Linked DNA regions of Cricetulus griseus. The protein of the gene in region 2 interacts with the protein of the main gene of each other region in a biochemical or structural test. Links are inferred from orthologs where the notes say so. Each region holds a gene or a part of one and is shown on either strand. Other genes may lie near its edges.

The links.
Region 1: the proteins of Jade1 (region 2) and Kat7 form a complex in vitro, tested with the Homo sapiens proteins (2 studies listed by BioGRID). The link is inferred for Cricetulus griseus from reciprocal best matches to the Homo sapiens genes JADE1 and KAT7.

What each region holds. Positions count from the first base shown.
Region 1 is NC_048600.1:108,482,382-108,486,200, forward strand, and holds part of Kat7 (histone acetyltransferase KAT7), read right to left. Parts: intron 2,440-3,819; coding exon 2,292-2,439; intron 1-2,291. UniProt on the Homo sapiens protein: Catalytic subunit of histone acetyltransferase HBO1 complexes, which specifically mediate acetylation of histone H3 at 'Lys-14' (H3K14ac), thereby regulating various processes, such as gene transcription, protein ubiquitination, immune regulation, stem cell pluripotent and self-renewal maintenance and embryonic development.
Region 2 is NW_023276806.1:108,454,186-108,458,004, forward strand, and holds part of Jade1 (protein Jade-1), read right to left. Parts: intron 1,573-3,819; coding exon 1,051-1,572; intron 1-1,050.

The DNA.
Region 1 (3,819 bases), on a different chromosome or scaffold from region 2:
ACTGAACTCCATTCAGTTCCCCTCCACATAGCAACCATATGTGGCATCTTGGGCAAGTTAATGTCTCCAAGCTTGCTTCTTTATCCATTAAAAAGAAAAATACTTACTTTAATTTGGGAAAGAGAGAAAGAAACACTAGCAACACACTCCTCAAGCTCATTGTGAGGAGAGTTCTTTAACAGTATTAACTATACCACCTATTCCCTTGCTACAGTCCATCACAATACAGATATCCTAAAACTAACAGAATAATACATAAATACTGTATGGGGGGGAATTACTTATTCTTTCTGATTACCCTTGTATTCTTATTTGAAGTCATAATCGATTCTAAATGTACAAAAATTTTTAAGACAGACCTAGTGACATAAGTATTCCTAGTACTTCAGAGTCTGAGGCAGAATGATAGTAATTTACAGGTCAGCCTGGGCTACCTAAGGATAAACTGGCTCAAAACACACAAATGAAATTTAAGTTTGGGTTTTTGTTTTGTCTTTTAAGTTTTATTTTTATGTGTATGAAAAGAAAAGGGCATTGGATTCCCTGGAGTTAACTAACGACATGAGCCACCACATGGGTGCTGGGAGTTGAACCCAGGTCCTCTGAAAGAGCAACTCAGTATCTTAACTACTGAGCCATCACTCAGCCAGCCCCTTATGTTCTTCCCATAGAGAAATCTACTCTGAAGCCTTCATAAACCTTTCACATCTCCAATAAGGAAATAGATTCAAAGCTGAAACTGAAGAATATTTTAAACAACATCCTATGACAATGTGTGAAGTATGAGTTGAAATTCTCAAGCTGTCAGGAGAGACTGAGTTAGTACAGAGCCAGGTCCCCAAGTCTATATACTTCCAGGGGCTCTTTTCACAAGGCTGTCTATATTTCACATTAGGGAGGGTGCTCTTATCCTGTGGCTGATGCTCAAGAGTTGTGCAGCAGCATGGCCAGGAAATAATGTAACAGTGCCTGTGCCCCCCCCCCCAAGCTCATGTGTCTAGCTGTTTTGAATACCATAACTTTTAGGACATAGCTAATTACAGTTTCTAGAACTCTCAGGATTCTTTGCATATATGGTTCTTTCTGCCTAAAACATTTTTCTCATCTTTCAATTTGTAAAATTCTACTAGACTCATGCCAGACAACAATATGGTTGCCCTACCTCTGGGTTTCCACAGTATCCTTAACAAATCACATTTATCTGTGCATGCACATTTGTGCACACCCACCCACCCATACACCTATCATAGACAGGTAATATATACATAAATATATTTTTGGGGTTTTGGGGGGGAGGGGAAAGCTAGAGTCTTGGTATGAATCTCTGCCTAGCTTTGAACTCTTTATATAGACTAGACTGACCTTGAATTCAGAAATCTGCACTCCTCTGTTTCCAAAGTGCTGGGATTCAAGGCATGCACCACACCTAGCCCCATATTGTAATTTTTCTATTTACTCTATCTCTGAAGATTGTGTATTAGCTAAAACCTTTCTTCCATACCAAACAGAACTATGAGAGGCAAAAGGCTACCTACCAAATAACCCCAAATGGCTAAGTACACTAGAGAGTCTTCCACCTACCTTCAAACACAAGCCTTTTGTTTTTTTCACTACCACAGCAAAATTCTGGGTATTTATCCGTACACTTTAATATCTATCAAATGTGACTCTACATTCTATAATTAAATGTGCTTTTAGAAGCAATAAGCCTCACTAATACATTCAATAGGCATTTAGGTCCCTAAGTCATTTTACAAAGTGATGAAATAACAGTCCCATTTTACCAATTTTATGATGACCGACAGCACCATAAAATCTTAAAAAAAAAAAAAAAAAAAAAAAAAGACTCAAGACATCTATGTCTCACATTTATGCAAGCCACAACCTATAAACAGGACGTGGTATCTGACAGAAGTCATTCTGAAAACCAGGTATTTTTGCATTTGCCTTACACATTGACACATTCTATCATCTACACAAAGCCAAAAGACCATTCTCCCTATGAACCAGCACAATAAAATGGTATCAATCTGGGGCTGGAGAGATGGCTCAGAGGTTAAGAGCACTGGCTGCTCTTCCAGAGGTCCTGAGTTCAATTCCCAGCAACCACATGGTGGCTCGCAACCATCTGTTATGAGATCTGGTGCTCTCTTCTGGTGTGCAGATATACATGGAAGCAGAATGTTGTATACATAATAAATAAATAAAATCTTTTTTAAAAAAATGGTATCAATCTGTCCACTGTGAGGAACAGTGAGAAAAAATAAATAAATAAATAAAAAGACTTTTACCTTGAGAACTCTGGCTTAACCTGGCTGAAGAGCGGGTGACTCGGGCAGATCGTCGAGATGTGCCATCACTCTCTGAACTGTCTGTGTGCTCGAGATCTGTAGAAAAATCGGAATCTTCGGTTCCATCTGAACTACTGCCTGCATTTCTCTGTAATACCACAGATCCAGACATTAGCATGGAAGCATTTACTGCGGGTTTCTATTAGCATTGGAAGTAAAATGAACCGTGATGCCGAAGCATCAAGTTCCAGTGTAAGAAAGGATCCACCACAATTTCCCTCCCTGTTCAGAGGAACTATCCTTCATTTCAGACACTTTGGTGGGATAACATACAAATTAACTTTGGAAAGAGAAGTAATTCTTACTGTATTATCCCTAATTCTGAAACAATTCAGACTAATCATTAGAACTCTCATAAGAGATTAACACATTGAAAATAAAAGCATCTAACCCAACAACAAAACACCCAAATCAAAATGGTCTTGCTAGCAAAGCTATGTCAGAAAAAAAGAAAGAAAAAGACAAAGCAGAGACGGCCCAGTGGCTATGAGCATATACAACTCAGACAGAGTACCTGACTTCAAGTCCCAGCACCTACATGGTGGCTCACAACTGCCTGTAACCCCAGCTCCAGGGGAAGCAATGCTTCCCGCCTCCTGGGGCACCTGTACTTATACATTCATACACAGAGTTAGGACAATATAACCAAATCTTTTTTAAAAAAGAAAAGTCCAAGATAGTATATAAAATGTTAATGCAGGGCCCCTTTTAACTTCAGGGTAAATTTTATTCAAACTCTCCATCAACAAAAATCACACTAGCTGGGCACATGCCTTTAATCCCAGCAGAAGTAGGAAGATTTATGTGAGATGTAGGCCAGCCTGGTCTACATGAGTTACAGGACACCTAGAGCTACAAGAGACCCTGACTCAAAAAACACTCAAAAATACATCATTTCAAAATATGGTCTTGGGGCAGAAGAGATGGTTCACTGGTCAAGAGCATGTGTTGCTCTTGCAGAGGACCTGGGTTCGATTCCCAACACACACACAGTGACTCACAACTGCCTGTAACTCCAGTTATAGGAGCTTCAACAAGCTCCTCTGGCCTCTGCAGTTACCTACCTACATATTTGTGGTAAATCTGTATACACACATGTATCACATACATACATTATACAAGCAAAAAGATCTTTTAAAAAAACTCACTAAATAAACATGTAATGATCTATAACTCTAATCCCAAAAGAATTTAAGCAGAAAAAATACAAATTATTTTCTTATCCAACTGTCCTTGAAGTTTCTCCACATGAATGTTATAAGTGCTGGGAAAGGAATTTATAATAAAGACTTATAGGTAGTCAAAAACAGTTTATTTTAAAATTAGATTTTATTCTATGACAGTTTTGCCTACATGTCTGTGTATAGCATACAAGCCCTTAGAGGTCAAGGGAGGTTGTCAAATCCCCTGGAACTGAAGTCACAAATGGTTATGAGCCACTATGTGGGTGCTGGGAGAAGAACCCAAG
Region 2 (3,819 bases):
AAACTACCTAAGGGAGCTGGAGACCCTGGGGAGGACAGTCCACTCCTAATTATTCCTGCAGCAGGAAGAGAGAGGTTCAGACTAGGACTCCAGAGGTAAAGGAGAGTGGGGGAGGCACCAAGCAGCAAACAGCTGAGGGAAGTGCCAGCAGCTGAGGCTCCAGGCAGCCAGCCACTTCATCAGCAACCCAGTAGTATGATAAACACATGTCTGTGTATATGTATGTAGTGTACTGAGACTGCTAAGGATTCCAGACAGACCCAATGCCCCTGTGCACCAGGAATCACACACACACACACACACACACACACACACACACACACACACACACACACACACACACACACACAAAAGACAGGGATACCCGAGCACACACAAGCACACACACTGCATGTACACAACCTCTGTGATGACTTAGCACCTCACTACCAAGTGTCTTCTGTAGCAGGTGTGTGTCTAAATTCATGCACACATTATCAGCACCCATAGCCTGCTCTGCTCGGCAACAGAGCTGGGAATGCCCGTGAATTAGCCTAGAAGCAAAGATGGGCCATTGGGAGGCAGTGCTTAGCTCTGTCTGATGGGTCCTCCATCAGCCCCTAGGAAATGTCTCCCCAGGTTGAACAAGAAATTCCCCTACTGCTGCCCTCTCCCCCATTAGTCAGATACATCCCAGTTCTCAAAATCAGACTGTAAACAATGCTGAGTCAACCCTTTGGTTGTGTTCCTGGTGCTCAATTCCCTCCAGCTTTACAATGATGGGAGCGAGCAGGGGATGGAGGTATGCCCCATCTGATCTTGCAGAACAGTAAAGATTAATGGGAAAGTATGTAAAGAAAAATAATCACAAAGCAGCTCCCACACTAGCAGTCTTGCACACTGCAGTGAATTTACCAGCCCATAAATATATTTAACCAACACAACCCCATGCTGTAGTGTGTACAAGAATCTGAGAGTAACGACTGGCTATCATCTCTTGCTCTGGGCAAGTGCTCGCCTCTTTACATCTTCTTCTCTAAGTCATTATAAGGTGTCAGTGTCAATCATTACCCTCTCCAGGTCCTGCCGCAGGTGCGTGAACAGCTGCAGCCTCCTAAACAAGACATCCTGCTCCCGCTTGGCTAGATTGTCCTCTTCATCTTTCTTTGGGGTGATGAGGGGCTTATTGAAGTTGACCTTCCTCTTCAACTTCCAGTACTGGTACAGGAAATCCACTACTTCCTCAGGCAGTCGCAAGGCCCTGGCCACATCCAGCAGGTTGACGAAGGTGTAGAACTCATCCTCCAGCTGCTGTAGCTTCTGCTTGCGAACACTCACCCGGTGGGCCTCTTCTCTATTCTGCTCCAAACTGGCAAAGGGCTCCAGAGGGCTCCCAGGAGAACACTTGGGGGCCCCATTCTCCTGTGCAGCCCCCTCACCCAGGCTCTCCTCGGGTTTCCTGTGTGAGCTGTGCTTTGGGCAGTAGGACTTGAACTTGACTTCATCATTCTCTGCCAAAATGGTCTTCATCTCTAGGCCACGGTCAAAAGCACAGGTCACGTGGAAGGCTGTCCGGCAGTTCTTCACAGAGCACTGCAAAGAACACACGGAGACCATTATGGAGCAGTAGCAACCAGAGTCCCTAGTGCTGGCCACCCCACATGACGACAAAGGCACACTCACTGAGACAGGAAAGCTAGACAAGGATGAAAAGGGAAGGGAAGGTCAGAGATATCGGGGAACAATGCAAACAGCCCAAACTATAGCTTGCTTCAAACAGTCACGGCACTACAATCTGGGGGGTGGGGGGGCCAGCATACAACTAACTGGCCCTGTAGATGAGGATGGCACAACCCTCAAGACATGCACTCCATGTACAGAGTATACTCTGAGGCATTAATCTAGTTTCTCAAAGATTTGTGCTCACATAGTTTTATAAAAAATGTGAACAGCAATCTCCTCAGCATACACATTCCTGGTAGGTTTTAAAAAAGACTGAATCCTCAGTACAACCCCTAGCTGGAAAAGGTCCCAACTCAGGCAGGTAAATACAAGCAGACTTCCTGGAAGCAGCATCCAGGATCACACCAGAGGAAGGCAGAATAAGGGAGGATGGAGAAAGGCCTCCCTGCTAGTGTAGAATCACCATTGCATCAGAGGCTCCCTTCCTGTGGGCCCCAGGGAAGTCAGCACGGCGGCCAGGCCTCATCAAGATGCACTGAACACCCTGCTCCCTCCCCGCCTGCACAAGGCTACAATTTAGTGTCTTTGATCCAGACACAAGCCTCTGGCCAGCAGGAGCAAAGTGATTAACTTCTCCCGTCTGATCTCACTGAGCAAATCCCTAGAAAGAGGTACCTCTCAGAGGCTGAAGCCAGTCCCTTAAAAGCAACTTATTGTGTGAGGCCAAGGGATCCCTGGGGCATGCCAGGGCTGCACAGACAACCAAGGATCTTGTGCTCCAGGACAGCTGAAAAGCTTAATTAAACTCATTCAACAGACCCTGCATCACATAACCACAGAGAGTTGAGAGAGACTGGAGCTGGATTCCCCCTCATCGTTTCAGTATTTGAGATACAACTCAGTGCCAGCCACAATTTAATCCTTTACTAAAAAAATCCAGCCCCTTCACCACCCCCAATTCCAACCACCTAAAACATATGCACTAAGATTAATCTCTACCTTTATAACTAACCTCAATTACAAGAAACGTGTGAAATCAGCTTTGGTGGCAGAACACACACAGACACACCTGGCCACTATCATGAAAAGGCACTACTTCTCCCCAGCAGCATGAAGCCAAGTGGGAAGTAAAAGTGGGAACAGATGACTGAGACACAATCTGCGTTTGGCTTAAACTACACTTAACCCAGGCATTCTAACCTTAAAGAGAAATGAGCTGCAGCAGAATATTTATACAAGACTTTGAAAAGACGCCAAATGGCCTTCCTCTGGGATTTCCTATTCAGGTTGACTCAGCAAACAGATGTTACAGAAACATAAACCAGAGTCTTCCCAGCTGCAGACATTTTGGAGAGGGATTCTTTTAATAAAAATCTAGTTTGTGAAGATATGAAAAGTCATCAGCCTTCCTTGGCCCCTTCTTCAAATTAATACTCTGGGAAAAAGAGGTCAATGGCAATAGAAAAGTCATTATATCGCTTCTCCTTGAAAGACAAGGCTCCCATCTGCCTCCGATGGAATGCCAATTAAGGAACAGGGTTGGTATACTCAAAAGAGCAGCTAACACAGACATGAGGACAGCCATTTTCCCTGATCTGCAACAAGCAAAGCATGTGTGGGTGTGGTGTGTGTGTGTGCGTGCATGCATGCGTGTGTGCTGCACACATGTGCAAACACTAAAATCATTCTTGACCTCTCCTCTAATTCTGCCCAACCCAAACCTCAGGCAGAGGCATTTATCATTTTAGTTTTCAACAAATTCTACTTATGTACAAAAAAAAAAAAAAAAAATTACAACTTTTAAGGTCCTGAAACCAAATCCTCTCAGGTTCCCTGTGCTAGCCCTGATATCCTTTTAGTGTTTTTGGATGCCTGAATATCGGTGGAAATAGTAGTAGTCAAAAATAAAAACACTTTATTGTTTAAAAACAGGAAAAGAATATAATACCACCCATTATTATATTATATCGGGTACCTTACTCAAAGAACCACTGATCAGCCAAAATATAACATATTCTGCCAAATGAAGTAATGTGTTTAAAGTCAGAACCACACTTGTCAAGTTCATGAATGTCCGTGTTGCATTCCCTGCATTGGTCTCTCAGATTTCAACAGAGAGACAGAGAGAGACAGACAGAGGAAGAGACAGAGAGAATA